4 linked regions of the Rhinolophus ferrumequinum genome follow. The protein of the gene in region 3 purifies or fractionates together with the protein of the main gene of each other region. This does not show direct contact. Links are inferred from orthologs where the notes say so. Each region holds a gene or a part of one and is shown on either strand. Other genes may lie near its edges.

What was found.
Region 1: the proteins of STIP1 (region 3) and HNRNPDL fractionate together in Homo sapiens (co-fractionation; 3 studies listed by BioGRID, with this or other methods). This does not show direct contact. The link is inferred for Rhinolophus ferrumequinum from reciprocal best matches to the Homo sapiens genes STIP1 and HNRNPDL.
Region 2: the proteins of STIP1 (region 3) and CCDC117 purify together in Homo sapiens (affinity purification with mass spectrometry; 5 studies listed by BioGRID and IntAct, counting the BioPlex papers as one, with this or other methods). This does not show direct contact. The link is inferred for Rhinolophus ferrumequinum from reciprocal best matches to the Homo sapiens genes STIP1 and CCDC117.
Region 4: the proteins of STIP1 (region 3) and DNAJB6 purify together in Homo sapiens (affinity purification with mass spectrometry; 3 studies listed by BioGRID and IntAct, with this or other methods). This does not show direct contact. The link is inferred for Rhinolophus ferrumequinum from reciprocal best matches to the Homo sapiens genes STIP1 and DNAJB6.

Annotation. Positions count from the first base shown.
Region 1 is NC_046288.1:37,427,522-37,435,885, forward strand, and holds the start of HNRNPDL (heterogeneous nuclear ribonucleoprotein D-like), read right to left. Parts: upstream 3,321-8,364; 5' UTR 3,130-3,320; coding exon 2,687-3,129; intron 1,909-2,686; coding exon 1,740-1,908; intron 1,634-1,739; coding exon 1,472-1,633; intron 986-1,471; coding exon 854-985; intron 711-853; coding exon 596-710; intron 107-595; coding exon 1-106. UniProt on the Homo sapiens protein: Acts as a transcriptional regulator. Promotes transcription repression. Promotes transcription activation in differentiated myotubes. Binds to double- and single-stranded DNA sequences. Binds to the transcription suppressor CATR sequence of the COX5B promoter.
Region 2 is NC_046308.1:18,340,131-18,347,888, forward strand, and holds the start of CCDC117 (coiled-coil domain-containing protein 117), read left to right. Parts: upstream 1-4,498; 5' UTR 4,499-4,666; coding exon 4,667-4,848; intron 4,849-5,530; coding exon 5,531-5,581; intron 5,582-7,758. UniProt on the Homo sapiens protein: Facilitates DNA repair, cell cycle progression, and cell proliferation through its interaction with CIAO2B.
Region 3 is NC_046294.1:7,220,382-7,228,439, reverse strand, and holds the start of STIP1 (stress-induced-phosphoprotein 1), read left to right. Parts: upstream 1-4,976; 5' UTR 4,977-5,104; coding exon 5,105-5,113; intron 5,114-8,013; coding exon 8,014-8,058. UniProt on the Homo sapiens protein: Acts as a co-chaperone for HSP90AA1. Mediates the association of the molecular chaperones HSPA8/HSC70 and HSP90.
Region 4 is NC_046309.1:769,611-777,203, reverse strand, and holds the start of DNAJB6 (dnaJ homolog subfamily B member 6), read left to right. Parts: upstream 1-4,425; 5' UTR 4,426-4,578; intron 4,579-7,593. UniProt on the Homo sapiens protein: Has a stimulatory effect on the ATPase activity of HSP70 in a dose-dependent and time-dependent manner and hence acts as a co-chaperone of HSP70. Plays an indispensable role in the organization of KRT8/KRT18 filaments.

The sequences.
Region 1 (8,364 bases), on a different chromosome or scaffold from region 3:
CCGCCATAGCCACTATAGTTTTGATCACCACCATAGGCACTATTGTAATTTCCATATCCTTGATCATAATAGTTATTAAATCCTTGGTTCCAGTTTTGGCCCTGACCTGAAACAATGCACAATGATTGTTAAGACACAACTTCTGACCCCCAATCCTAACATAAAATGATCCATTCCTATCTCTCTGCAAAATCTTAAAAAGGCAGAATGGACACCTATACTGCTATCTGATTGTCTAAAAAAGGGGTAGAAAGTCCAACTGTGCCAGTTATCAGGCTTTCTCAATTTACTGGAAAATCAAGACAAAGGTGAAGACAGGTAGACTGTCTAACTTTAAAATAAGTACTGTCCAAGAAAACTTATTACAAGGTATACCATGTAATCTTAACTACATTTAATGCTATTATTTTCCCTCAGTGATGACAGTCAGTGGCCATTCTTTGAAGAAGTGAAACCAGTAAACTCAAACACGAAAACCCACCCACTGAGCACTTTCCACATTGAAACAACTTAAATTTGGTTTTACTTTCTTATGGGCTTATTATTTAGCAACTTACAGCTTACACCAAGTTATTTGCCAAGAATTAAGTCTCACCTCGGCCACGACCCCTAGTACCACCTCGTCCACCAGCTGCAGCACCTCTTCCTCCTTTTTGTTGTTGCTGTTGCTGCCTATATACCTCTTTGGGTTGTGCAACTTTGATTTCACACTATAAACAAATTTTAAACAGCAAACAAAATTGTTACTAAAGTTCTGAAGTTAAGCCATTTTATTCTCAAAACAGATTTGAGAAATTCTTTCACCAATAAAAACAAATTCAAAATTTCCATTTAATATATAAAACAGCTTTACCTTCCCAGAACCAATTTGATGGTATCTGCTTTCTAACAATTTCTTTACTGGCTCTTCATCTGTGTATGTGATAAAACAAAATCCTCTTCTTTCATTTGTTTTTGTGTCCATGGGAAGTTCAATATTTTCAATCTGAAATCAAGATGAACACTCAAGACCATCCAGTAATGGTAAGAAGCTACCAAAAGGTTTTAGACTCCCACAGGGCCTTTTCAAGCTTCGCCATAACGTTATTCTAATCAGATGACTTCTGTATAGACTACTGTTTGTATAGACTACTGTTTTAATAACATCAAACTAGCTTAGTTTGTTTTATGTTAAGCATTTAGAGAGAGCAAAACTTCCTTTATTATCATTTCATACCCAATAAATGCCACTAGTTAATAAGTTCAAACACTGACTACACCAAAGCACCCATGTTATGGCCAAAATAAATTAAATATTGGTTTCCATTACAGCACAGAAAGAAGTGATTAAACCGTGATGGCTGGAAGGAACCTGAGCAATAATTTACTACCACCTTCACCTGATATATGCATTTGTTCTGTAAGAAGTGGACCAGGGATGAACATTACATAAACACATCAAATACAAAATATGAACAGCCACACAGCGCACCTCTCCAAATGCTCCAAAATATTCTTTAATTTGTTCTTCAGAAGTGTCTGGGCTCAATCCACCCACAAAAACCTTTTTGGGAGGTTCCTTTCCTTTTAAAGCTTTGGCCCTTTTGGGGTCTATCAATTTGCCATCCAGTTTGTGTTCCTTCAGTTCCAAAACCTGGAAGACAGATTTATTTAATCTGACAGCACTGTACAACCAACCCATGGAACAATTTGCAAAAAAAAGCACACAGAAGCAGCACAACGCAAAACACCGTTCCTACCTTATCAACACTAGCAGCATCTTTAAAAAGCACAAATCCAAATCCTCTTGATCTTCCGGTGACTGGATCTGTTTTAATTGTGCAGTCTACAACTTCCCCAAATCGAGACAAATATTCAGTCAGATCTTTCTTGCTTGTGTCCCAGCTCAAGCCTCCAATAAACATTTTACTAGAAATAAGTTATTTTTTTAAAAAGGTTAGCAGCAGCTCAAACGATTACTCCAGTTCTGGTATTATGTTTAACTATGAAATAATACGGGGAAGTTTAACCCCTATGCCCAAGTCATTTAATCCATGTTTTCAGATACATTACATCAAGACCACAAAAATCCCAAAATTCCATCGCAGCCACTTATTCAAAACAGTTAACAGCTTGCTCTCCACACTGCATAAAGCAAAGTTTCAACAAGGCTAACAATATACGTTAAACATTTTAGTTTACAAATCCAACTTCCTAAACGAATCTTTCACAACTTAGGTCACTCTCTTCCTCAGCTGTCAAGCCAACGTTCCACCTAAAGAACTCATCATAACGCGTCCTGAGGTACTGGACACCAGTGAACACTACTGGTTTCCAAACCAAAAGCTCCAAACTCTCCAGGAAAACTGCGCGGGGCCGTAACAGGGACACAATGAAGAGGCGGCGGCAGCTGCAGCATGTGGCGCAGCGAGGCCGGCCCCTCCCCCTCGGCCCCACGCAGCGCCTGCGCACTCGGGACACAGACGCCACCGCCCTCCGCTTCCAACTCCTCCGCCCTTCCCCCACCTTCCGCGGGCCTCTCGAGTCACCCCCCTCCGACTCCTACTTTCTTTTCTCCAAGCTAGTGAGGCTGATAGCACGCGGGAAATCTACTCGGGGCAAGCATGTGCGCAGCGCGCGGTACTCGAAGGACGAAGAGCGCGCGCAGCGCGCTGGGGGAGGGGGAGAGGGGACAAGCGTGCGGTACCCGTCATCCTGCTGATTTTTGCTTGCGTTGATCTTGGATCCCTCTGCGAATTCCTCTATGTTGCTATACTCGTTCATGTCCTCCATAGTGGCGGAGTTGTCGGCCGGGGGGTGCTGGCGCGCAGTCCGAGTCGCGGCAGCAGCGGCGGCTGAGCGTTGTATGGAGCTGGATTTAAAATGGCGGCGGAAGAGATCCGGGCGCCGCCTGCGCCCTCCCTTTATAGCTGCCCCGCCCGCCAATCGGGAGGGCTGCTGGGCAGTGACGTGGCGCTGGGCCCGGCGCGCCCCCTGCCGCGCGGAGCTGGGAGCGAGTGAAGGGAGGAGCGGGGCGAGCTGTCGCGGCGCCCGCGGCCGCCAATGGGAGAGGCTACGGGAGGCTAAAGTAGCGGGAGCGGAGGGGAACAATGGCGGCGGCACATGGGAAAGCCGGGGCGGGACCTCCATCGCGGCCCTCCGGTGAGGAGCGAGGTCGCGGGTGAGGGGGCGCGGGTTGGGATAAGAAAAGCGTCAGAAGAGAAAAACGAAGGAGCGAAAAGTCCTGGGTCAAAAATCCCGAGCAACGCCGTCGCAGGGCCGAGTCCCTCTTGCCTGGAGAGCCTTTGTCTCTGGCGTCCGGTCCAGCCCACTCCTAGCAAAGAGCCGTCAACCCCGCCTTTTTCCGCCCTCGGTCCCCTAGTGCGGAGCTGGTGCGGCGGCTGTTATCGTTTAGCACCGTGGCCGGGTTGCTCCAGAAAAAGGCGGACTGCGCCCGGCACCCGCGGCTGAGGCAGCGAGCGCGCCTGCCAGTCCGCCGCGCGCACGCGTGTTTTGTCCTCGAGCTGGCTGGAACCAGCCGAACAGGAAGCGGGCGCGCGGCAGCCCCTCCGGGCAGCGGCGCGGCGCCGACTCCTCTTCCGCTACCGCCACAGGCGCGCGGGCCGAGAGGGCGCGGCGAGCCTCTCTGGCCGATCGGCCGGAACCTGGGCCAACGCAGTCAGGCCAGCCAGGACCCCGTACGGCCTCTTGATGGCTTAGGACGGGAGGAGGGGCGCAGGCCCGGTCAGATTACTGTAAATATGCAAAAGCGGGGGCAGTGGGCGGGGAGGGGGCTAGGTGCCGTAGACGGCAAGGGGCACTCACATCCCCGGCGCGCCACTCGCGGGGCTCCCGTCTGCACGTGCCCCGGGCCTCTCCCGCTCGCTCAACCAGTCTGCGGAGAGCGCGCTCCCGCGCACCAGGCTCCCGCGTTCGCTTCTTTGTTCCCGCCCACGCGATGCCCATTTTGACGGATCGGGTTCGAGGCCCTCTGGCGGCCAATCGGTGTCGGCGCCTTTACCTCCTCCCGCCCTCTCGGAGCCCCGCAAGTTCCGCCCCTTTCCCTGCCCACGTGGTCTCGGCCTCAGGTTCTGGGCAGCTTCCGAGTTCAGGTCCCTTGTGTGGTCGCCTTCTCCACTTTCAGGGGCGTGGAAGTGGCCTCTTCCCCTCGTGCTTCAAGCCGCACCCGGTTGCACGCTGCGAGATTCTTGCGGAGCTGTCGGAATCCCAGGACAGTGCAGGGCGCAATAGGCACCGCCCTCTACCCTCCCTACCAGTAGGCCGATTCCGGTGGTAGCATCCGGTAGGGAAATGGTCGTGCTTTCGGTGCCCGCTGAAGTCACTGTTATCCTGTTAGATATCGAAGGTACCACAACCCCGATTGCTTTCGTGAAGGTGAGGGGCGGAAGGGAGCAGGGAATTGTGCTTAAAAACATAATTTTAAAAAAGTATTGGCAGACCTTTCACCAGAGACACGAGGGGTAGGAGAGGTGGTGTGGCTTTGCGCCCGCTGTGGAACAGGAGAAAGAAGAAAGGCTGTGGCGGGTTGCGGGGATGCTTTTTCTTATGGCACCATCTTCACTGTCCCCCGTCCCTATCCTTGGTTAAATGCAGATGGTTGGGAAGGGATGGAGGTAGTGGCGAAAAAAGGCAGAGGAGGGATGGTCCGCCGCGGGAGAGGTAAAGTAGGCGCTCCCCGCCCCGCAGGTGCTTGGTCGGACCTAGCTAGGCGGCGGCCGCGATCTAGATCCTTGCGGCTTCTAGTCCGGCAAAATGGAAAGACTGAAGTGTCACGATGAATTTTCAGGTAGCCCTGGTTTCTTGTGCCTTGTCATATAATCTATTCATTATTTTTATTAAGAACTATAGTATAATATTACCTTGTTATACGTTAATTTATCAAAGTAATGTAACTGAAAGAGTATACTCATCTAAAAGTATGCTCAGAAGAACATTGGGTCTGTGTGGATGTTTACAGTAATTATGCAAGAAAGGATTCGGTATTAAATGCACTTTTGGGAAATGTTCTGTACATGTTCAGGTTTATTGCACGGCTTCTCAGAGTCAATCTCATACACATGCACACATATATGCTTTGTGAGTCTTCCAGAGAGTAGCATTTCACAAATTTACTTAAAAAAACTTTTAGCAGAGTATATCTTTGAACACCTTTTAAAGAGATGCTAAGTTATATTCTTTAACCTCCGATCGTGGAGCAGGGAATTGGGAATTAGTCACATTAGATGTGTCACCTTGTAGCCTGTTTCCTGTGGAATGGTGAAAGGAAACACTGAGTACTGTATACATGCCACTTGTACACTTGACTTATCCTCAAAAACTGTGATATGTGCGTATTTTACTGATAGGACAATGCCCTGAAAAATTGAACAATGCCCAGGATTTGAACCCAAATTGCCTGACAAAAACCTTACTCTTTCCATTATTGCACTGGATCTCGGAAATGGGAACCACAGTGCTTGTTGTGTCTTTGCTTTGCTGCTAGGTATGTTAAATGACTCAGTTGATAAGAGAACACTTTAATCAATATGAAGTACCATAAAAGTATATGGGAACAAATTTCAGTTTCTTGGTGATAGGTTTAGAAGTGAACCAGAAAAACTACAGTTGAGTCTTATTTTATTTGGGGATTTGATTCAATAGTCGATGTATACTATGAAGATTAATGTCAAAAATTGCCATTGTAATACCCTTAGCAAATCAGTCTTCTTTGGAGGCCGATTTTCACCTTTAAGTTAAGTCATATGCAACCATTTTTCCTTTAGGATTGAAACAATCCCTGCTTTTTTCCTTGAACACCAGAGGAAGTATAAAAGTTTATGTTTAGGTGATGTAAATGAAAAATATGTTGTGTCAAACATGAGCCTCACACTGAGCCACTCACACTGTAAGAGACACAGGGGAACTGAGACTGTCCCAGGGAACAGAACACCCTCGTTTAATGGAATGGCAGACAGATTGCTAGCACTGGTCATGGTTTTTTGTTTTTTGTTTCTCTCTCTCTCGCTCTCTGTCGAGAACTTACAGTTAAATGTGTATATGATGCAGCCTAACTATATATGATAACACTGACAGTCTAAGATCTCATAGGATTCCATACAATCCTCCCAGTCTGGGAAGTAGTATTTTGTGGACAGTCTGTTGTACTCAGTCCTTAGACTCCAGGCAACAACATACAATGGTTTTACTTACCAGCTATTATGTCTTTTTCTGAGTCATAGAATTGTCAAATTACTAGTGCAGGATGGGCTCCTAGCTGGGATTGTCTAGTGAAAGTTGCAACCAGATAATTAGTTTTTCTGATGAGTCAATTGATGTCTGGAGGGATTTCCTGTATGAGGATCATCACAACTTGGGGGCAGAGCAGCAGAAGAACCCAGATTTTCTTAGGTGGTCCCAGTGCACCTGAGTCCTCAAAGCCACCAGCCCTGTCCCTCACTGCAGGACACATGCCCCTGGAGTTTATTTTCTTTTCATGTACTGACTCTGATTGTCTACAGTGGTGATCTCCCAACAATTTTTGGTCATGTGTGCCGTCAACAGAACTGAAGCCGGCACTACCATTAGAATTTAGAAATTGTGTACACATATTATTGTACTGTTAAGTTACAAAATAGAATTTAAAGATGACATTAAAATAATAAGTATAGATGAATGTTAGTACTCTTTTCTTACCTCACTGATTCATTTGCACGTCCTGGGGGTATAGTATGTACTCTATGGAGCCACCTCTTGAATTTTGTCTTTGGTGATGTAATATTCATTTTTTGACTTTGTACATTGTATTCTAATGTTTTTAGTCTGTAAGCTATGAAATAATACCATCATCAGTCCCTGTGGTTATCCTGTCAGGAACCTTAAACTGCTGTTTCTGAGTTTGAGGGAAAATGATCTCTTGTTCCTCAAAATGCTCTAAATTTGGTGGCTTTCCTGTTGTTACATGTCAAGTTGGTACATGTAACAACAGTTTCAGTAATGTTCCATAAAGTCACTGAGAATACCATGTGAGCAAATACTGAATCCTTGCCCCTAGAACAAATATAGTTAGGTTCCTGTGAGCCTGTGGTCACAACATTTTCATCAACTGATCGATACATAGCCTTGTTTTATGTGTGTTTCTGTTTACCTTATTTAATATATTCTTGGTTAATTAACATTGGACTCACAGCCAATAACACTGTAACTTATCCTTAAATGAAGCTTATTTAACACATATTTTCTCCATAAGGCACATCAAAGCTTTCTGGCACTTAAGAACACTAGATAGGGCTTCAGCGCTTTGCTTGGCCAATTTTAAACTGCAAAATTACGAACAAAAAGCACAAAATATGAAAAATTTGGTACTAAATAGATTCTGAAAAAGACACTTGTTTAAAATATGAGAGGTAAAACAGGAAAAGCATTACCTTGTACTGGGAATATGTACATCTGGTGTTTCAAAATTTTGCCAGTCTGCACACGCACTTGTTCTTGAATTGATCGTCACATTGCAGCGAGTATTGGTGATTGGGGGTTACAAATAAATTTTAGTGACTAGAATTTGCAAATATGGAATCTGCAAGTAATGAGGATTGACTGTATAGAGTAGTATTTACAAGGATGGTCTTGGAGACTGCAAGTCTGGATTAGCATTCTGGCTCCTCCCTATGTGACTTTTGGCAAGTTAGTTAACGTCTCTGTGTCTCGGTAAGTATTTCCTCAGTTGTACTCTGGGGATATCGACTCATAAGGCTACTATGAACATTTAATGAATGCTTAGCTCCTGAAAAAACTTTATAAAAGAAATAAATATACTTACATCAGTATTTCATCCACCATCCCACCAAATCTTGTCAAGAAGTAGTGGAGGTGGGGAGGCATGTTTGTCATTTATTCCTCACGAAAACTTTTCGTGCTTGAAATAAAATCTTTGTAATAATTAAGCTTGCATTAACCAAACATAAATCTGATTAGGATATTTGTCCCTAAAATATATTTAGTGGGGCATGGTGGGTACCCTTGCCAATGAATGGCTCTTTATATCTGCTTCTCAGACTTTAATGTTTATACAAATCAGCTAGAGATCTTGCTAAAATGTAGTTTCTGACTCAGGAGATCTGGAATGGGACTTGATATCTAACAGGTTTTCCGTGAATTTCTCAAAGGCTCCCAGGTGATGCCGATGCTGCTAGTCCACAGACCACACTTGGAGTAGTTAGGCTTTACAGGAATTTGTAAGCTCGGCCTATGCCTCGGCCTGTTAGTGTTGTTCTTGTCTAATGACTTGTTTGAGATAAGGTAGACCAAGCAAGAGAGATGAGTTAGAGAAGGTATGACTTCATTAACAGAACCAAAACCTCTCAGAAGTTAGCTACGTTGATTATGGAT
Region 2 (7,758 bases), on a different chromosome or scaffold from region 3:
CATGTAAGATGCCTCATCGCCACCATCAGGGCTCACAATGCCAATGCCAATGTCCAGATCTCCTAGTGAGTCAACAAATAATTAACAAGGAAAAAAAGCAAACAGGGGACCTAGATAAAGGAGACTCAAGAGACAGGCAAACCTAAAGCAATGTTGAATCATGATGCTATCAAACCAACAATAAAAACATTCGGGAGCACTTGGAAAAATATGAATACAGATTATATGATTTTGAAGAATTATTCTTAATTTTGTCAGGTATGCTAAAGCATTGAGGTTATTTTTTGTTTTTTGAAAAAGTATTTATTAGAGATAAACACTAAAGCATTTAGAAAAAAATGTTTCTGGGATTCGCTTTAAAATAATCATGAAAAACTCCCATGTCCTAACACAGTATTTCCTATTTACATATTACATCCCCCTTTTTGTCCTCATACATAAACATTTTTTTCATACCTATAGACATAATACACCAATATTTTTATGATCTGATAAAAGTATTGGTATGCTGTTTCTGAAAAGGTGCTCCCCTATTTGGAATTTCATTAGCAACATCTTAATTTGCAGGTTTCACTCCACCCTTGACAATAGTGGTTGTTGCCATTTTTTAAATATGAGCATTAGTGCTTTAGGAATTGTGATGGTTAGTTTTATGTGTCAATTTGACTAGGCTAAGGGATGCCCAGGTAGCTAGTAAAACATTATTTCTGAAGGTGTCTGTAAGGATGTTTCTGGAAGAGATTAACATTTGAATTGGGAAACTGAGTGAAGCAGATGGCCCTCGGATGGGGGTGCCTTATCCAATCCATTGAGGGTCCAAAAAGAACAAAAAGGCAGAGAAAGGGTGAATTGGTTCTCTCTTCCTGCTAGAGCTGGGACATTCGCCTTTGGACATCAGTGGTCCTAGTTGTCAGGCTTTTGGACTCAAATAGGGACTTATACCATCAGCCCTCTGATTCACAGGCCTGAATTACATCATTGGCTTTCCTGATTCTCTAGCTTACAGACAGCAGATGGTGGGATTTCTTGGCCTCCATAACCATGTGAGTCAATTCCTATAATAGATCTCCTACATCTATCTCTCTATATATATTCTACTGGTTCCGTTTCTCTGGAGAAACGTGACTAATCAGGGCTCTTCCCTTGAATATGAATTTTGTGGGTGCTCAGCACGAAAGAACGTTTCTCTTTGTTTATGGCAAACAGTGATGATATCTCTGGCTTTTGAATCAGTCAAATCTTTCCAGAACCATCATTCCTAACTGTCTGACCTTAAGACGAGGCCTTCACCTCCTTGAATCTTAGTTTCTTATGCTGCAAAATGGTGACAATATAGTAGTGGAGTGTTACGGTGGAGAGGATATGAAGTACTACACTTAGTACAGTGCCTGCTACATAGTGAGTACTCAATACATGCTTGCTGCTGCTGGTCTCGATGGCTTCTTTTGACTTCTTGTTTTTAACCTCGTGTCTTAGTCCGTTTGGGCTGCTACAACAAATATCATAGACGGAGTGGTATAAACAACAGAAATTATTTCTCCCAGTTCTAGAGGCTGGGAAGTCCGAGATCAAGACACCAGTATATTCAGTGTTTGGTGATAGCCCCTTTTTTAGTTCTTAGATGGCCATCTTTTTGCTGTGTGTTTCTCATGGTGGAAGGGGCAAGGGAGCTCTTTGGGGTCTCTTTCGCATGGTGGAAGGGGCAAGGGAGTTCTTTGGGCTTACTGCCCTCATGACCTAATCACCTCTCAGAGGCCTCACCTCTTAACTGGGGGTTAGGATTTTCACATATGAATTGGGGGATGGAGGGAGGGACACAAATATTCAGTCCATTGTACCTTATCATATTGGACATGTTTATTTCAAAAACATTTATCCTCTTTATCTGACTACAAAGCAGTACATATTCCCGGGGGGTGGGGGGAGCTTAAACTTTATCCCCAGAAAGTGCAAATTCTGATAACCCCAACCCTCATGGGTCATTGCCATCAACAGTTTTGTTTGGTGCCTTTTTTTCAGAGGGGATGAAGCCTAATAATTTTGTATTAACATCCTGACAAGGTTGTTTCTTGCTAAACCCTATTAACGAATGACTATTAATTATGTAGATACATTATTTATCCTAAGCTTTAGTTTTATTATTTTTATATAGAGATATATGAGTACCTGTGGTCTAGTTGTGAGAGCAAAATGAGAAAATGAAGAGCTCTTATGTGTGTATTATACACTAGCACACAGACAGGTGCGTGTACACATACACAAATAAGAAAAAAGACTGAAAGAATATTCATGACAGTGGAGCTTCCTGCAGGATGGAATTAAGGCAATTTTTATTTGCTTCTCTATACTTTTATCACCACCTCCACTAATTTTCTACTAAGAACCTGTTTGTTTTATAACCAGAAAACATTGTGGGTTTTTTCATTTGTTTTTCAAGATTAGCCACAGGAGAAAGGACTCAGGAAGGGAATGTCTCAGTGTATGTCTATGTCCCACCAATCCCATGAGAGATAAGCTGGAGGTCACCTCAAAGAGGCAGGCCTGTACTGTCACCGAGAAGAGATGTGTAAAGTGGCCGCTATCAAGTTCTAGAGCCATTCTCCCCCGTCTAGTGTAGGAAACTGCACAATAATCCTGTCTTTTGCTTCCAGGGTCTGAAGCCCCAAGGAATCTCTCTCAGACACACTATAGTAAGACTTTCCTCGATTCCTCTAAACTAGTTTCTTTCAGGGAATTCAGTAAGATAGAGCAAAGCCTAGCAATCTAGGGCAGGATCGAAAGTCTCAGACATGGGGTAGAACTCCTTCACTTATAGCTGAGGGAATGGGGGAATCACAAATTACCTCAGTTTCCTTATCTGTAAAATGCAGGTAATAAAATCATCCGATTTAGAGTTCCTGTGAGGAATACTTGAAGTATGTGAGGAATACTTGCAAATAGGAAGTACCTAATACATTATTAATTCTAGTACATTGCCTAGTATGCAACCTGGTATAGAATTGTGAATTAAAGAATGAAAGAATGAATCTGGATAGACATTCAAGAAATATAATTAGGTAGAAGTTTCAGAATAACATATAGAGTAGGATTCCCTTTTTATAAATATATATTTATATGTGTATATTTTTTTCATTTGAGGAATGAGGTGGCCATTTGTAGAAATGACTCAGGAGACTACATTGTATATCCAGTTGCAATAAGTAGGGTGTTCCCTTAGGGAGACAAAACTGGATGGTAAATGCCACTAAGAAAACTTCAACCTAATACATTATATTACATTAGGCAAAGGGGATTCAGTCATTTTCTTAGACCATTGTGAGGGCAATAGAAATGGAGAAAGATGAAGAGAATCTGGAAACATTCCACAAATGAAGCCCATAGGACTTGCTAACTGATAAAATACAGTGGTGAACAAAAAAGAGGCATCAATGATGCTTTGGTTTTTGGTTAGAAAGAGGAAAGCATCTCCTGACAGCTGAAATTGCACTGGTATCTGGTTGGACTTGGTTTCTTCCTGTTAAACAATTTCGCAGAATGTCAACATTAAACAAGGACCAAGATGTGAGTTCGATGGATCGAGCTAAAACAAGACTACTTCATAATCATGTCTGAATGCAGACAAAAATGAACATTGTCCAAACCACAAGTGACCAAATATCCCCTATCCTGGTTAATACGAAGACCATTTGCTTCCTTACCAATTACAGGTTTAGCCTCGCTTCATTCCTCCCACCTTCTAGAAAAGATTGACTATGATACCCAGTCAGAATTATCCGTGCTTACTGACAGTATTAATTCCAGAGCGAAGCTCTGCTGCTTTGAACCTTCTGCCAAATCACCTAACACAGCCCATATTCTATAAAAACCTTTTTCGAACACCCCCTTACTAAGACCCTCCCTCACTGCAAGAGGTCAATAAAACACATCTTAGTTCAATTGTAGATCTTTATAGGTCTTTGGCTGAAGGGCTTTGACGTTGGCACAAGCAACTCGGACTGGATCATGGTACTATTACCTGAGAAGGGAAAAATGAGGCATGATCTGTGGTTGGAGTTGACAAACTCTGCTAGCCCCTCTGGCAAGCCTGTGTCTCTGATGCCCCAGGCAGCAGCTGAAAGGCTTCTCACAAGTTCTCTGAGGTATTTACTGATCCTCCATGCTGTTCCCTCAGAGGCATCACCCACTTCATTTATAGTAAAACATAGAAGGAATTAATACTAGCTGATATTTAATGAATGTGTATTATGTGCCAAGCAGTGTTCTAAGGGCGTTAGATATTTAATTCATTTACTTCTCCCATCAACCCCATGAAGATAGGCACTATTATTATCGGATTTTACTACAGAGGATTCGAACTTAGAATATATTCAAGGCCCGATAGAACCATCCTCAAGCTTTAGCAGTCTAAACTAAGGCGAGGTAGCCATCTTGTTTGTAGTCTGTAAGGACTGCCACTCCCGGCATTCCTTGCAGCAGGGGCCTCTCCACACACAACAAATCCCGGCGTGCCCCTGGGCGGCCCGGAGTGGAGGGTTCTAGAAGGCGTGACGTGAGGTCAAGAGCGGGCTCAGAGGTGGACGCTTCAGCAGTCGCTGTGGCCGCAGCTGCCGGGCCCGGGGACGTGGGTGGCCGGGGCCGCGGGTACGAACTCCTCGTTTCCCCGGCCATGGCCGCGCTCGGCCGGCCGTTCAGCGGTCTCCCCCTAAGCGGAGGCTCGGACTTGCTGCAGTCGCCTCCGGCCTTAGCCGGTCGGGCCTTCCCGCCGGGGGCGGACGGCGCCGAGCTGGCCCCGCGGCCGGAACCCCGCGCCGCCCAGAGCAGCCCCGACGGGAGCGCCGCTCGCGGACGGTGAGGAGCCGGGCGGGCGTGCCGACGCGGGGCGGGCCGGGCGGACGGACGCGGGAGGCTTCTCAGCCCCAGTCTACAGATGTGGAAACTGATCCCCAGAGACCTTAACTGTAAGTCGCCGGAGGTCGCACAGCCCGGGAGTCCGGTTCGGACCTCAGCCCTCCTGCGCCTCCTAGAAGTGAGGAGACTTACCTCAGCTCGTCCAGGTGGGGTCGGGATTGGAACCCTGGCCGACTGGAGCCTGGACGTCCTCTCAGCGCATACACGCCTGGTTCCCCCAACGGGCACGGTGCGACCGCTGGTGGGAGCAACTTTGAATGCTTGTCGGACACTCAGCTTTTTTCCCGCAAAGTGGGACAGAAATGGGTTCTCCTAGAGACCTTGGAAATAAAGTGGGTTAGCACAGTGCCTCGAAAACGTTTTCCCTACGTGAGCCTCCCCAAATTTATCTCCCATTACCGCGACAGAATGAGTTTAGATTTCAATCTCTAGTTAGGTCATAACCACCCACCGTTTACCTGACTGACCTTGTGACCTGTATATCCGCCCCACTCGACAAGGAAAGGGATAGCTGGGTGGGTACCTGTAGTTGGGCAAGCTTATTGGAGCATGACAGAGTGAATGCTGAAAGCACAAGCTCAGTAAATTTCTCAATTAACTTCTTTTTTGTTTATTTCAACAGTGTTTCAGTTCCCTGTAAAAAGAAACACAAGCTAGAGCAGGAGGATGATGAGTAAGTTTCAGGTGCCATTTATTCACTTTATGGTCACTTAATGTAACCTATTTTACATTCTCGACTATTTGTTTTAAGTGAAAAGATGAGACGTTAGGTGTCTCTGAAAGGAGGCACAAGGAACTGATAACATTGGTTATCTTTTAGAGAAAGTAGCGGGGTGGCTGGCAGGTCAGTTCGGAAACTTCACTCTATACCCGATTGTAAAGTTTGAATGTTGAGCCATGTGAATATTATTACATGCACAAAGTAAAAGAATTCCAAATGTGTAAAAGGATGTATATTGAAAAGTCTTACACTCCAGAAGTAACCCCTGTTCAACCTGTTTCCTATTTCTCCTGTGGAAGTTCATTTAAAAACTTACAAGCTTATAATTGTGTATACCTCTGGTTTTTTCACGTTTGTAAGAAGATACTCTTCACACTGTGCAATATATTGATCTTCTCATTTTACTTTCCTGTATAGCCTGTTGCATATAGGCACATAGTGTTCTACGTAATTTATTTTTCAACAATTGAACAGAATTCTGTTGTAAGGCTAGATATCTTTTATTAACCAGTCTCCTATTGATGGATTTCTGAGCTATTTCTAATCTTTTACTAACAAATCTACCATGACCATTCTTGTTCTTTGTATATATTTGCAAATAGGTTAATGGATTCTTTAAAAATGTATGCAAGAGTTGTTGCCCAGTTATGTACTCCTTTTAACAGTGGGAATGCCAGTTTTTCTTTTTTTTTTTTTTGCCTCTAATCCCCCCCCCTCGGTTTTTAAGCCATTGTCTCTCAGTCTAGTTGTAAGGCGCAGCACCCTGGCCCATGCTGGTATTCTGAGCCTTGCACTCCCCCCGGCTGAGGCAGTCGGTTGCCAGTCGTTGGTCAGTCGTTCATAGCAGCCCACAGAAGCCCACACTGACCTCCAGCTGTTCATCACAGCCCAGCTCCAGTGAGAGCCATTGTTCACAATCTTAACTGTAGAGGGCGCAGCTCACTGGCCCATGGGGGAATCAAACCAGCGGCGGAGCACAGCGCTCCAACTGCCTGAGCCACTGGGCTGCCACCTGGTTTTCCATCTTCTCACCAGAACTGTATTTTGAAACTTTTGACTTAATTCATAGGTAAAAAAATTGCATCTCAGAGAAGCACTCTGTGAAAAAAATGAGTGAAACAGTTCCCCAAAGAGAATATCCAGTTGACCAGCCAAATGAAAAGATGTTCCACCTTAGCAGTCTTTAGGGAAGTGGACATTAAAGCCACAATGAGATACTACTCTACCAGTAGACACTGGATCGGTCATGGAGCACCAGGAACTCTCAAACACTATGAATGAGAATGTAAATTGGTACAAGCACTTTGGGAAACAGTTTGGAATTATCTAATAAGTTGAAAGCACATGTACCATTTAACAAGTACCATTTAACATTAACCAGTTCCCCTTCTGAGTATGTACATGCACATATCAGGGGACACATACAAGAAAGTTCATAGCGTCCTTCTCATAATAGCTCAACACTGGAAACAATGCAAATGTCCCTTAATGGTAAAATGTATACAATATAATTCCCTAACTATAAGGTTCAAAACCAGGCAAAGCTAAACATTGTTTAGGGATGCATGTTTGTGTGTGTGATAATGTATTCTTTTTAAAAAGGAAGTAATTACCATAAGAGACTGTTTACCTGTAGGGAAGAGGGAACAGAGGACCATTTTGGGAAAGTGACAGCCTATCTTGAAGGTTATTTTCATGGATGTGTGTTTTGCAATTATTCATTAAATTGTATGTATTTTTATGAGCATATGATTTTTTTTTTTTAAGATTTTATTGGGGAAGGGGAACAGGACTTTATTGGGGGAACAGAGTGTACTTCCAGGACTTTTTTCCCAAGTCAAGTTGTTGTCCTTTTAATCTTAGTTGTGGAGGGTGCCAGTCAGCTTCAAGTTGTCTTTTGAGTCTTAGCTGTGGAGGGCGCAGCTCAGCTCCAGGTCCAGTTGCCGTTGCTAGTTGCAAGGGGCACTGCCCACCATCCCTTGCTGGAGTCGAACCGGCAACCTTGTGGTTGAGAGGACTTGCTCCAACCAACTGAGCCATCCAGGAGGCAGTTCAGCTCAAGGTCCCGTGTTCAATCTTAGTTGCAGGGGGCGGAGCCCACCATCCCTTGCGGGACTCGAGGAATCGAA
Region 3 (8,058 bases):
TGCCCTAAACCTTCGGAAGAGCGCTTGCTGATCTATTGTCCACTACGGCTGTCGCCAGTGTCCTGACTAGGCTCACCTCGGTGGTCCCCTGGATACAGCAGCTCTCCTGCCATCCTCCACCCCAAACCCACACCGCTCATAGGAAATGGCCTGGGAGCCGAGGCTCGGGGCGGGGGGGGGGGGGGTCCCACCTCTGGCTCTGGCCACCTACCAATTCAGGGAGCCAACACTCTTTCTCCGTTCCCAGTCAAAGCTAGGAGATGGCTGGGGAGTTGCAAAGGGGTCTGTGTCCAGCTGACAGGATTTGTTGATGAACTAGATGTGGTTGTGAAAGAGTCAAGGACACCTCCAAAGTTTTCAGCCTGAACCAGCCCAAGAATGGTGAGGCCATTGACGAAGAGGGAAAGCCAGGAAGGAAAAACTTGGGGGGAGAATATAGGGAGCTCTGACTTGAACACATTGGGAAGACCATTAGCCTTCCAAGTGAGACATCAAGGAGGCATCTGGGTGGACAAGTCTGGAAATTGGGATTGGGAGTGAGATCTCAGCCAAAGATAGAAGTATGGGAGTCATTTGAAATGGTATTTATAGCCACGAGACTGACTGAGGTCACCCAGTGTTGGATGGCAAGGTCCTGGGCTGGGCTCTGGGGCTCTCTGATGAATAATTATTGGATAATAATTACCGCTGTTTTATTCCTTGAAGCCTCTGGCACAGTGCCTGGTTCTCCAGACAAGTTCACTGAATTGAGCAGAATTCTATGGCACTTTATTTCCCACCACGCTTTCCCCACTAATCAGGACTCAGATGCTGTCAGCAGGAGTGGGAAATGAAAATATTCTTTAGGAATTTCTCAGAACCCGAACGGAAATTCACTCTTACTTGGAGAAGGAAACTCAGGTTGTCTCAAATTCCCATTCCAGTAGTAGAAGTTCTTGTAAAGACAAAAATTCCATGTTCTACAGACCCCAGAATTCAAGCTCAAATTCCTGACCCACAAAATCATAAGACAAAATTAAATGTTAACCTCCACTGCTCTCTGCCATGCTGAGATTCCTGAGGTCCAGATGTTTTATTTTTACTGATATTGGGAGAACTTTAAAACTGGGAGTTTGCTATGCAGAGAATTTGGTCTTACACGTTGACCCCTTCAGTCTGTCACTCGCTGCAGGATGCCTGAGTGGACTCCAAATACAGCCCTCGCTATTTTGCTCCCCACCCTGAGAGCAGCTGTACCAGAATAGCAGCATGAATCACTTGACCTGCCATGCAACGTATGGGCCAGGATGCCTTCTATAGTGGAGCTGCTGCTTGTGCTGCAGAGATCTGGGGAAGGGGACACTGGCCGGCCCATATCTCTGCCTCCCTGCCTACTCAGGATGGCTCTGAGTTCACCGAGAAATATGGAGAAGTCCAAGTTAGTGGAAATTGTAATAAGAGCTAGTATTTATGAATGAAGAACTAGTTCAGAAGTGGCTTTACTGTGACACTGAGTAAGCTTAAACTTTAGGGTCTCCTGTTTGTATCCCTTCCAAAACTCCATACCTCATTTCTTAATTTGTATGTTTCTTTCCTCAAAGAAAGATCTCAAATTTTTGTAAGTTTCCAGTCTGACAAGACTCTAGCATGAGTTATTTTGTTTAATCCTCACAGTAACTTCGGGAAGTCATTGGCACTTCATCATCCCTTTACAGGCAAGGACATAGAGCATAGAAAAGCCATGTCTGAGTCCTTGCAAATTCCAAACTTGTTTCAGCCTCAGGGCCTTTGCACCATCTGTTGCCATGTCTGGAGCCTTTTCCTGGCTGGCTTCTCACCACTCCAAGTCTACAGGGCCTTCACTAACCACCCACCTCTAGGAAAGCCTTCCTTTCCTGCCTCCCTGGTTATTTTCTATCCCTTGCCTTTTGTTTTCTTTATAGCACTCACTACTCTAGAATTATCTTCATTTATGCACTTATTTTTATTTAACAAATGCATATAGTGCTTACTCTGTCATGAGGCACTGTTCCAAGTGTTTTACAAATATCAAATCATTTAATCCTCATAACTACTCAGACATTGAAACTTTTTCATCCCCATTTTAAAATGGAAGAAACTGAAGCAGAGAGGTTAGGTAGGTTGCTTCAAGTCACACAGCTGATGAGTTTAAGTATCATCTGTCCCTCCCGCTAGAAGACAAGATCCGTGCAGCGAAAGCTGCGTCTGTGGGCTGCCTTGTTCACTGTTGAGCCTCTGTACCCAGAGTAGGGCACTGAACATAGTAGGCCTACAAAAAATGATTGTGGGAGATGATAAGGCCAGGTCATAGAGAGGGAGGAATGAGAAAGAAGCCTGGAGACAGGCTGTGGGGGAGATGACAGAAGGCCTCCAAAAGCCACTGGAGAGGAAGGAAGAGTTGGTCTGGGGGGCAGCAGTGGGATTGACAGAAGTATGGTGGTCTGCAGACAATGCCAAGAAGGAAAAGTCTTGTTGACAGATTTAATTTAGCAGATGAATAAGAGAGGCCAAAAGCCTTGAAATCATCCTTGACTCCATATTTCGTGCGATGCAATCAATGCATCAACAGATCCTGTCAGCTCCCCCCAAAATGCATCCAGAATCCAAGTCCTCAGCCCTCCTCTGCTCCCACCCTGACCCAGCCACCATCACAGCTCTCCTGGATTATTGCATCAGCCACTTAAGAGGTCTCCCAGCTTTTACCCTTGCCCAACTCTTCATCTACACAGCAACTAGAGGGATCTGATAAAATGAAGTCAGATCATGTCACTCTTCTGCTCAAAACCTGCCAGCATGTTCCAAAGTGAACACAATTGCCTCCCACCTGCAGGACCTTGTCCCTGCTTCCTGTTCTTCTGGCTCTCCCACTTTCTCCCTGCTCCTGCCATTCTGGTCACCCCAGGGCAGTGCCCACTCCAGGGCCTTTGCTTTTGCTATTCCCTCTGATGCAAGGTTCTTCTCTAGACTTTTCATGAATCTCATTCCCTCAGGTTTTTTCTCATATGTTAGGTTTTCACAGTTTGCCCTGGTCACCCAACACCACTTGCACCCTTTCCCTGATTTATTTTCCTCCACTGCACTTAAGCAGATACACTATATCAACTTTTAGTTTGTCTCCCTGCTAGACCAAGCACTATGAAAACAGTGATTTTTGTCAGTTTTGTTCACTGCATTTTCTCCACTGCCCACAATTACACCTAATACATAATAGGACGTTCAATAATATTTGATGGATTAATGAATGTCTGCTGTGTGCCAGGCATGCAATGCACCTTGAACACAGGATAAAGGAAAACAGACACAAGGCCCTCTTTGACTTCACAAAATGTGGTGCTGTACCAGTCACTGGTTTGATTTGTGATTGGACACATGTATAGTCCACAGTGCTGTGAAAGCAAATCACAAGTGGACAGAAATTAGTGTGCTTGTTGGGGGCCGGTTGTCAAGATGTCTTGACAGCTCATCTCAGCCAGACATTGGAGACGTTACCCTGGCAGAGTTGGTGGAAGGGTGATCCCAGGAGAGGGAGCAGCTTGCAGCCAGGCCCAGAGTGAAGGAGCCCACCTAGTTCAAGGAACAGAGAGGTCAGAGTGGCTGGAGTTGGGTGCTGAAAGTGGAGGACAGGAAAGAAGAGGTGACAAATGTAGTCCTGCCAGATTAGACAGGCCTTGAGCCCCAATCTAAAGCCTCCAAATTCTAACCAGCAGGCTTGTGGATCCGCATTGGCTTTGCCTGCAGTGTCCAGAATGGATCAAAGACAGGTGGGATGTAAAAGGATGCAGTGCAGAGAAGCTACTGGCATACAGTAGGGCACTTAAAACCCTGGGAAGGGATGGCATTAGCTAGAAAGGGGAAAGAACAAGGACACAGGAGAGCCCAGGACCCTCATGCAAGCTCTCTGCAGACCCTTATGAGGCTCCTTTGTTCCATAAACCACCCACTGGTCCAGGTGGAAAATCAGCATTTTAATTCCGCAGGCCGTCTCATTCATGATCTAAGTCCTTCCTTTTCGCCTCTTTCCGGGTGCCTGTTCAGCCTCGCGCTTTTGGGCAGCGGTTTAAGACCCTCCCAGGCCGCCGTCGCCGGCCAGGAGGTAGTCAAACACCACACTGAGATCTGTTTCCTTGACATCCGTATAAAGGTGGTAGCTCCCTTTCACTAAACGCTAAATACTTCATGAATATGAACCCTTCCGCGGCCCCAAATTACCAACCCTTTACTGGAGAATTTCAGAGAGGGTATGCATCTCCACTGAGGGGACCCAGCGGGCCACAGGCCCCGCCAAGGTGAGATGCCGGGTCTGTCCTAGCCAAGCCCCATCGCCTTCACCGCCACGCACGGTATTTTTCCACATTCAGAATCGAACAGCAGGGATCCGGGGACGGACCAGGGAGCTCTCTTGAAGCCAACCCAGACAGTCACCCCCACCGGCTGAGAACCCCCCGAGCCCGCCGCACGGGCGAGACCGAAGCTTTCTGCCGCTGAGGAGGAGTGAATCCTCCGCAGGACCACAGCAGATGAAAGAGAGAAGCAGTCGACCGCCCCGCAGCCGCGGGAGCAAACTGTGCAGCGGGTGATCGTGGCCTCGAACTCCCATAAACCCCACACTGCCCTTTGAAGGGCAGTGATTTACACCTATCAGCGCAGAGTGTTGGCAAATCTCCGCCCAATTGAAATTTTTCTTATCTGAAGGAGTTTCCGTCATAGAGTCCGCCAGCCCAATGGGAAAAGTGGAAATTTCCAGAAAGAACAGGACCAATGGGCGCAGCCAGCACGGCCACGACTGGCGGAGCAAGCAACCAATTCCTGTCTCAGATCTCCGCCCCTCCCTCCAATCGTAGAGCCTGGGATGGGCGGGGCCTGTCGGAAAGCGCCCAATCCCGAGGCGCAGCTGCCCAATGAGAGAGAAGCAAAGATGATGGACTAGACTTAAAGCCAATAGTAGAGAAGCACAGAAAGCCCCTAGAAGAGCCCGACCAGTGAGCAGGCGAGGAAGGGGCGGGATCCGGGGGTCCCGGCAGCTTCTAGTAGGTTCCAGAAGGCGGCGTGTGCAGTTGGGAACGCGTAGCGGACGGAGTCTATTCAACGGAGTACCGGGCCGGCTATGGAGCAGGTGAAGGGGGAGGGGCAGGCTGAGGACCCAGGGCCGCTCGCTGACCGGCCAAGGCCAGGCGATGGTTGGAGGGGCGGGGCGGGTGCCCGATTGGGACTGGGAGCTCGGACGGGCGGAGCAGCGACGGAGGCGAGGGTGCGAGGGCCGTGACTGGCCGGCGGGTGAGCGGTGGAGCGAGGCCCGGCCGCCGGGAACGTCGGGTTCACTCCACGCCGTTCACCTCTCGACTCGGCCCCGGGTTAGACGACAGTTGGGCGTGAGTCCGGCCCTCGGCGGGAAGAGGCGCGGTGGCTGGGTCCCGCAGGCCTCCCGGAAGGTGGCTCCGGGCTAAGTCGGGGGGAAGGAGGTAGGCGAGGGACCTCAGAAGAGGCGCGAGTGATCGGGTGCACGTCAAGGAATTCGCTTTCTGGGAGATAGATGAGACTGCCGACGTAGAAGCCACCCAGGACTTGGCCACAGTTAACTTGGAGGAATGCAGGCAGCGGGGACGGGAATACACTGGAAGTAGCTGAGGCACTTAGCCAGTTGGGGGAAATACTATTTTGCTGCTTCTGAAAACCGGCATGGAAGAGTGTTGAGTGAAGGTGTGAAGAGTAGCAGGCCGACGACTTTGCCTGATGCCGGAAAGGAGAGGGTGCAGCAAAAGTCTTTGGAATCTATTCCCTCCACCAGTGTTTCACAAATTTATTTGCAACCTTCTCCCTCTTTTTTTTCTCCTTGTGTGTGTGTGTTTCTAGAGTAACTGAGGACAGACACTTCTGAAAGGTCGGTTTCTAATTACACAAGGAGGACTTAGTCGCTGTAGAAAATTTAGACTATAGATGAACAGCAAGAAGTCAGTTATTTGCCTTTGCTCAGTATTTTAGAGGGGCCGAGTTTGAAGCTGCTGCTGCTGGTTGCTTTGAATGACTTAATTATACCTCAGTGGCTCGAAGGTTGTGAAAGGCTTAGAGTGGTTTGATTCAGTTGGAAGCTGTCATTGAACTGTAATGATCGATCTGGGGTGGGGGAGAGAAAAAGGCTCATTTTGGGGGGATAAAGCTGAACCTTTTACTGTTAGGATAGCCATTGTTCTTTTGGTCAAATTTGGAGCCTCTGCTAAATTAAAAAAACATGAGAGTGGAATGGAGAAGTTCAATTTTTTTGAGCCCTTGTAATTTAAATTGTATCTGGGATTAAATAGGCTGTAGTATAGATGAGAAAAAGATTTATGGAACAAGAAACACATCGTTAAATTTAAGAATGCTTTTTTCCTGCAGTTAACAAAATACCAGAAAAACTTTTTTTGAAAGAAGAAATCACACACCCATTATGGAAGTGTGTTTACAGGTAGACTTTAAATGAATGTCAAAACTAAACCCAGGACTGCAGCTTTACCATGGCAGTTGTACAGATGACCTGGCATTTGTACAGATGACCAGGTGTGAGAATATACTGTCTTAAACCCGTTCCTGAAAAGAAACGTGTGATTTCTTTACATTTTGTTTTCATTTTCAACTCTGAGATTCACATTTCAGCTTTAGGGAATATTCAAATTGGACAAATTAGAGTGTCCAAAACTGTATTTTTTTGTTAAACAAGTGCAGTACCTTTAAGATAAATCCCACAGTGATTCACTTCTTACATTTGACCCAGTACATATGTACAAGTGTATGACATGTTTTTAACAAAAGGATACTGTTACGTGTATTACACACTGATATTTTTCTATTCCATTTGATCTTCTGAAGTGCTGGTCATAATCTACAAACTTGATTTCCTGACTTACTGTACTCAGTTTGGAAAATGATGTTCTATAGGACAGGCAGGAACTTTACTGAGTTGTTCTCAACTGTCTCTTGTTACTAGTTGAGTTTTTACACTTCTTGCCTTCTGACTTCCATCCTGAACTCTTAAGATTTTTATCCCTTATTTGCTTGAATTTGGCAATCTCCTGCCGTTTTTGACTTCGAGGGTTCTTTTCAAGATCTCTCTGATGGAGGTTCCCGATTGGTGTGCCTCAGGGCTCCAAAATAATTTTCTCTTAAGAGTTCTTTCTTGCATCAGTATACTGGGTCATGGGTGGCTGATAAAAAAAAAAGAATGATGCAGTAACTTGAATGGCATAGCTTGATCTCTGGATGTGTTTGCATTTGAGGTGTGGCCCTCCCTCTCATAGGGCATCCCTGATTAGAAACCCCTTTAATTAGGACCCTATTCTGATGGCCAAGGCCCGCGTCACTTTTCTAAATGCTTTGGTGTGTTCCTGCTTCTTGCATTCTGAATGTTGGAAAGGATAAGGGATTAAACTGCAAATAGTATTTTTTCATTCTTCATTTCCTTTGCAATATATTAACACTTAAGCACGTCAGAACCTGATTTGGGGTGGGGGGGCCAGCTTTCCTTTACCATTAAGGAGCAGGGCACTAATCTGCTATGTTGTGACATATTACCACACCTGTAAATGAAAATACATAGATTCTTTTTTGACCGTGTAAGAACATCCTGATGGCTTTTTCCTGTAGGGAGTGATCAGGTCTGTGCTCAGTTTATCATTTGGACTCTTTGGAAACCTATGTCAAATGAATTTATTTTGCTATGACAGGAACTCATGAGTGTGCTCTAGAGGTTTCATCAACTCAAAGTGGACATTTGGAAGAGTGGCTGGGGCTCCTAGTAATCCACACGAGAGCCAGGGGAAAGGAGAGTATCAGGCTTCTTCTGCCTGGTGATTTTACTTGTTCCTTGCTGGTTCCCAAAGGTGTGGGAAATGTAAATGAATTAATCTATGATTTCTCTCTTCTGATCTGTAAAGTAACCTATTTGTCGATAACTGCAGCAAAGAATGAGCATCACCTAAAAAGCTGGGACTAAATAAGCATGTTGTGGAAGTAAACTAGATTGGCTCCTTTTTTCCTCAGGTAAATGAGCTAAAAGAGAAGGGCAATAAGGCCCTGAGCGCTGGC
Region 4 (7,593 bases), on a different chromosome or scaffold from region 3:
GGGGGATGAGGCCGGGGCAGCTGCTGTAGGAACAGTCTGACAGCCTCGGGAAGTATAGAGGGTCAGGGACGTGCAATGTGTCCTGCCCCAGTGAGAGCTGGGGAGGGCGGTGGCTTCCTGTCTGCCAGGTAAGCCTGATGTGGATCGCTGGAACCAGGCAGAATGACAGCCATTATTACATTTTCCTTAACTGGACAGAGAACTGCTTGGCCCCACGGGCAAAGTAACTATGAGAACATTATGATTTCATTTCTTATGAATGAACAACATAATTGCCAGGATTTTCCTACTTTGAAACTATTTTTACTCCTGAAGAAAGAAAAAGTACCCGATGAAGAAAAACAAGGCCTGTCCTTATTTGCAGTCTGGAAGTATGGCTGTCCTAAATGGGATTTCCTGTTTGTCCAACAATGTCAGTGTTTCTGATTTCCTCATGTCTGATAAACCATCAGTGATGTTCCTGTATTGTGTCTTTTAATATGAGACTCCCGGGCAGTCAGATCACTGAGGCTAAGAACCGTGGGAGCTAAGGAGGGGGAGGGCGGGGTCTGCGGATCCAGAGCGGGGAGGTCAATCACAGGAAGGTGGGAAGAGCATGCGGGTAACAGGTGTTTGCCGCGCCCCGCCAATAAGTCTTTCCCGTGTGAAAAGTTATGTGGAGTGATATGTGGTGATTGCTCTCTTCCTCGCATGGCCCCCTACCTAAATTCTTTTAGGCAGTTAAGGGATAAAGAAAAGCTTTTCCTGAATCTGCTGGGCCTTCATTGCCTTCAGCTCAAAAGAATCCACATGCCAAAAATGACATGTTTTGGGGTGGCATATGCTGCTCCCCCTCAAATACATATCATACTGTATTAGTGAATAAATGCTGGTTTTCTTACGAGGGATGATAGTATTGAGATTATGTAGGAAACTTTCCTTATTCTTCCGTGAGGCGTGCTACAATATTCAGGGGTGAAGTGTCACGATAGCTAACTTGCTTTCAAATGGTCACAGAGATAAAGCTGTGGGAAACGTGGTAGCAATTGATGAATGGAGGTGAAGGGCTTTCATGTGTTCATTTGACTAGGTTTTCAAGCTGAGTGTTCTCCCCGTTTCCTGTGTTTGTGTTAAGTAGCAGAATGTACCTCTTTGGCATAAGGGTTACTTTGAGCCAATGATTTCTGAGGAACTGCAGAGGCAGGAGAAGCGCTGAAACCTAGCGGAAGTTTACCCCTTTGTCAGGGAAATTTGCCTGTCGAGGGAAATCTCCATTTGTAAGTGTGTCTCCCTCAGTGCCAGGAAGTGGAGGGTGATTCTGAATTCCAAGAAACTTATCACTGGAGAAGGAAGGGGACTGATGTCTGCAAAACCACCTAACTGTTTATCTTGCTTGTCCTGATAGCAGGATCCCTCACCCAACATCTGTCGTCTTTACCTGAAGATGCTACTGAAGGTGGTGGCTTCTGCTACCTCCTGGAGCTTCCTAAGTGTTCCTGGGTCTCTCCCTGTGCACATGAGCTGTTCATGGTACTGAACTTCTATTTGTTTTTCTCCTTTATTTATCTGTCATTTATTATAGGGCGTCTCAGCCAAGAACTCAGACGGGACAGAGAAAATTATTTCACATACACGTATGTATGCACCCATGGGACACACAGTGAATACAATTTTACAAAAACAGGATCACTATACCCACCGTCTCAGTAATGCATCTTGGATATATTTGATGTCAACAAGCGTAACTGCATTATTATATTTGTGGCCTGTATGGTATTTTCTGGTAAGGAGGAACTGCTTATCTGCAAAGTTATCCATCACCTTGTAAGTATTATACTTTTTTTTCCTTCATTCCTGCTGTTGAAAAAAATAAATGGAGTAAATTTGAAGATCTAATTGGGTTTATCAAGCCATTCATGAATTAGGCAGCCTCCTATCTAAAAACTAGAAGGGCGCTCCAGCCAGCACAAAATCGAAGGTTTTTTATACGAAGAAGCTCAGGGGGCAAGGAAGCTGTGAGCAGAAGAAAAGAAAGGATTCTTTCTAGATCAGGACTTCATCTTGGGGGGTGGGTAGTAAGGAGGGGGGAAGGGGATGGCAAGTTTTATCATGCAGATTGACAGTTCTTTCCAGGGAGTAGGGGTTGGGGGATGGAGAGGGCCCATACAACGAAAATTCCAGAGTGGTTGATTACGTTTCTGGGACAGGTGGAAACAGGAATTAGCTCAGGTATTAAAATCTAGGTTTCATATCATGGGACTTAGCACAAGTGATGCCATTCAGGGCCTGTGGTTTTCTCTCTCTCTTTTTTAACATTGCACTTATTGTTTTAAGGCAAAATTCTGTAAATGTTATCCTTGGATCTAAGGCAAATTTCAGTTTGATAAAAATTTCCAAACTATCATTCAGGATCTTCACCTGAGGTTGCTGGACTCCTGGATGGGCTTGGCAGGGTGTGGGCATGTGAGTGTGCGTGTGTGTCTACCGATTTATTCAGATCGCTTGCACATTTTGCTGGGGAGAAGCCTGAACCTCTTGTCAGTTTCTTGAAGAGGCCATGACACAGAAGAGCTATTATTTACTGTGTATTACTGTGTGCCAGGCACGGAGCTAAGCACATACAATTAACCGCCCCATCAAGCTCATTATCCCCATTTTACAGGCGAGGGAACAGTCATCAAGTCTTCCTCGTCTTCCTGCAGACCGTAGCGGTGTCCCTGCTCGGCTTCCCTCGCCTACAGAGAGCGTGTGAAGCCCTTGGCCTCTGCTCAGGCCCAGCGCTTGTCCATCTTTGTTTCTCTTTATCGTGGTTCAAAATGATTGCTTCCATCAAACCGACATGCTCACTCTCCCTAGGCCGTCTGCTTTTGCACTTGGCCTCCTCGGTCCTCTCCAAGTGCCGTTTGTTCCCTTCAGTGTAAATACTTGCTCTTCTATTTTGAAGTGGTCGTCCTCTGAACCAGCGTTCCAGTAGCACCACCATCTGGGCTGATACTAACTTTGGAATAAATGATTAATCTTATCTTGAAAGATTTTCTCGGTTGTTTCACAAAGAGTGAAATATTACATAAATATTTCTGTTATTTTTCAGGGTATTTATTCCTGTTCTCCCAGTATACCATGTGCTTTTCATCAGGGCTGGTACCTTGTTTTTTTCTCATGATACAATTCACTGCACTGACAGATGTTTTTAATAAATATATGTATATATTTTTTGGAGGGCGGAAGAAGTTATTTGTGGCTAGCCTACCACTTACTATTTAAAGTTCATGTCTCTGTTGTCTGCATTTCAAGATTAGCTCACACTTGCTGTAGGGACTTTTTAAATGTGAAATGTCACATGATAGCACTGTCAACACTGGAAGGGAAATAAAACTCCATCAACCTGCTGGTAGATATGGTTACATGTGCCAGATCCAAACTGTGCATATATCTGAATGAAATTCCAGTCTCTTCTGAGATTGTCTTAGGTTTTAGCATGAGATGTCCATACTGAGACCAAATATGGTTATTCCTTACTTTTCAGCAGTCATTTATCAAACCGACTACACGAAAGAGGATCAGGTAAACAATCTTTTTTTTTAATTTTTGCTATGTGGTCAAAAACTATGTGCTGTAACACAGTGAGTGTTTAAGAAACCCAAGAAATGAATAGACACAATATAAAGCAATGTGTAAAATGTTGCTTGCAATTGTGGTTGACACACGTTGTTGTACTAGTTGTAGGCGTACACCGTAGGGAGCAATCTTTTGAAGTAGGGAAAATTAGAACCATGGCTCCTTCTGGGTCCCAGACGCCGAGAATGAGGTTATTGTCAGCCTTTATACACAAGGGGTGTTCAGCGTCTTCACCCCAAGTATGTCAAGGGCTTAGATGAGCGAGAACTCGGCAAGGGCTGTTAGACGAGAAGGTGGCCGAGTCAGGGCCCGGCCCCAGCACATGGCAGCCCTCCGCGTGCGTGCAGCGGGCAGGACACTTCCTCCCGGAAGGGAGAAGGCCGCCCACGAGCGTGCTCGGGGTCACGAAGGGCGACAGCAGACGCCGGGGCAGGAGCCGGACACCGAGACCTTCGCGCGGAGGCCGCCAAGCACCCTCTGACCTCCCGGGGCCGGTGACCGCTTCCAGGGCGCCGCCTCCTCTCCAGGGCCAGGGGTCGTGTCGTCCGACCACACCCCCGCCCGCGCCGCGCGGACCGCCCGCGCGGAACCCGTGGGGACACTAGAGGCGCGGAGGCGGCAGAACATCCAAGTCGCGCTAACCTAACGCCCGGGGCAGCACAACTCGGACGACCGGCTCGAAGCCGCGTGCCCGTCCCCCGCGCTCCCGGGGTGCGGGGCCGCGGAACCAGCGCTCGGCCCGCGGCGCTCGGCCCGGCCGCCCAGAACCTTCGGGAAGGCGGGGGCGGGCGGGGCGCATGCGCAGCGTCGACTGGGCGGAAGTGGACGCGCCGCCGCGTGACGCACTTCCTGTTTGTTGTTGGAGAAAAGGAGAAAGGAAAGCGCGAGGAGCCGCCGCCGTCACCAGCGCCGCCGCGCAGGAGCCGAGGAGACCGGGCCGCCACCCCGCCGCGCCTTCCCGCTGCCGGTCCCGCGTCCTCGGTGAGAGCCGCCCGGGCGGCAGCGTGTGGGGGTCGGGCCGGGGGCCTGGTGCGGGGCCGCGGGCCGGGGCCGGCGGGCTGGGGCCTGGAGTGGGGCCGGGGCTCTAGGGCGGGCGCCGGGCCGGGCCGTGCTGTGGGGCGGGGCGGGGGCGCGTCGCTGCCACCCCCTCCTCGGGGGTCTCTTCCCGGCCCCGCCGGCGGTTGGGTGCGGCCGGGGCGGCGGGCGGGCGGCCTCCCCGGGCCCCTTCCCCGGGCCCGCCGGCGCGGGCCGAGCTCGCTCGCTCGGCGTGTCCCGCTCCCAGCGGCCGCGGCCTGCGGCCTGAGAGGCTGGTCGGTCTTGGCGCCGTCGTAAGCCCTCGTGGGCCGCCCCGAAGCAGAACAGGTAGGTGGCGTCGCGGCGCCGAGCACAGGGCGCGCGTCCACGACTCGCCGCAGATTTTTCCAAAGTTGGTTGATGAGCGACATGCCTGGCTTGCAGCTTAACTTAGAAAGCCACTTGCTTTGTTTTACTTCAAGGTGTTCCGCGGTTTGTGTAGCTGAAGTGTTGATCCTTTTGCCCAAGTGTGGAAAGCATGCAAGAAGTGCAAATGGCAAACTAGCGTCTCGGAAAAGGTTTTCGCAGGTAGTGGGGGTTGTCGTGGTCAGAGACGGAAACTCGGTGCCGACTCTCTTCTCTCCCAGAAACTGCAGGAAGGACGTGGCCGCGGGGGAAGGATCACGCCACTAGAAGAGTGGGCTGAGCGGTGCTCCCTGCAGTTTTCAGAGTTTCTGTTTCAGTTGTAGGTTCGTTGTAAGATTTTTATGGCTACAGTCTTTTAAGGCGATGGATTTGATTTAGTAGAAAGGTTAGACCAAAATGACCAAAAGGGAAAAATAAACCCTCAACCATTTGAACTTATTTGCTGATTGTTCGTAATCTTTAATCGCCCTTATCCTAATAATTGTGAATGTGGAAGACGCTTTAGTGGTAGCTGGAAGGAATTATGTACTGCCGTCGCCCCCATCTCCCCAGTCTGCCCCGGCCCTGGTTCTTTGGGAAGGTTAATGCAAACTTTTCTTGTTTCCAGTAAGAGTCTTCACCTGTTCTTTGGGGTTAGGACTTGTATGGTGTGGAATGAAAAGGTGGGTGCTGTTTATGCATCCTGTCTGATGAGCTGTGGAATTTTTGGGTTATGCGGAATCTGAATTTGGGGACTAAATTGGTTTGGTGTAGTGGTTTGTAGGTGTGGATGACTTGACAGGAAGTAGGAGGAGAACAAATGGGGTTGAGAAGTTGGTTTTTGGAATATGCCTACCTAGGCTTAGCGTGGTGCAAGCTGGGAATTGAAGAGCCTTTAAAGAATTGGAGATGAGTTCAGCACTCTTAAGAATATCGGTATTTCACATTTGTTTTGGATTTGAAAGGGGTAGACTTGGGAGGCGTTTCTGGCTGCAGGACAGAAAGGTACTGGCCGCCAGGTGGGGAGTAGAGTTGGAGTGACACTCGGAAGACTAAATTTATGGACAGGCGGTTCAAGTCCCATGGCCTGCAGCTAAGTGCACACAATGCCTTTCCTCTGAGCAAGCCCATTATTTTTAAGTGGGAGAACCAAGGGGACAACCAAGAACAAACATTTCCTCTTGTAATAACTCTGATTTTGGAGAGTTTCAAGCAAATAATTGTGCCCTTTACCAGCACTGGCAGCTTACATCCTAGCAAACGAGAAAACCAGGTTTGTGGTGGGATGGTCTATGTATTTTTTACAATTTTAGAGAGCACTTTCAAATTTGGCACATTATTTTTAGTTCAGCTTTTTTGGGATTGCAGTGTAATCCTGACCATGTCACCTTAGTGTGTGTGACTGGTTTCCTTCCACTGGGGAGACACTGAGTGCCCCTGCCTGCATGCTAGAGGTAAAGGTCAGCCCAGCCGCTGAGCTTGCCAGCTAGCCCAGCTGGCCAGCACGTCACGTCTGATGGCTGCTGGTAAGGAGTCAGTGGATACGCTACGCCTTTGTGTTTGGAGTTGAGGTGCTATCGATTAAAAAAAGTTTATTTCTTTTTGTCTTCTCATTTCCTTGGAAGTGATTCTAGAATTTAGGATGGTATTAAAAGTGGTTAGATTTAAATTTGTCCGGGACACCACCTCCTGGTGAAAGGCTGGTAACTGCAGGCTTATTAGTGAATTAGAGTGGGATCAGTAAAAAGATTGAACAAGTGTAGTTTCTCTTTGATGAGTAGAATTTGAGAGAACTTGAAACTCGAAAAAAGGGAGGTAAATGAGAAGAAAACTGAAGTCGGTGAAGAAAAGAATAGTCCTAGAAATGATAATGTAGGAAACAAAAGACAATTTTAAGGTCTACTTGGAGAAATGACTTACTGGATAAGTCAGGTAGTAAAAATGTGAGGATTTATATTTTGAATATAAGGTTTTTCCAAACTTTGTATGTTTAGGAGGACTTTAAAAAAAATCACAGTTGACCTCTTTTTATTTTAACATCCTACCTAAGGAAGAAGTACATTTTAAAAAACCTTATTTTTAAGGTAGGGAAAATTAATTTCTGTAAAAGTAGTTAAGGAGTGGCCGGTTACCTCAGTTGGTTGGAGTGTGGTGCTGGTAGCACCAAGGTTGCCTGTTCTATGCCTGCATGGGCCACTGTGAGCTGTGCCCTGAAAAAAAAAGTGAGAGTAGTTACGTTTCTAAGGTTTGCATCATATATCAAAGCAGAGTAGGTTGTCTCTTTATATCCTTTGTACCTTTTTTCAAAAGCTATATCTTACCTAGGTATGGCTTGGTTTTCTCTTAAAATTTTTACGTTATCCAGAGTTTGTGAGGAAGTTTTTGTCCTTTCTAAATGAAAAACGATGGCCACCATTGCTTATGGTTGTAAGGCAGTGGGGCTATTCGTACGTACAAATACTCGAGGTATTTTAGGGTTCTTTTTGTCCCCCCCCAACCATCAGTTCTGTATCTATGGGTCTGTTTCTGTTTATTCATTTGTTTTTTAGATTCTATACATAAGTGAAGTCAGGCAGT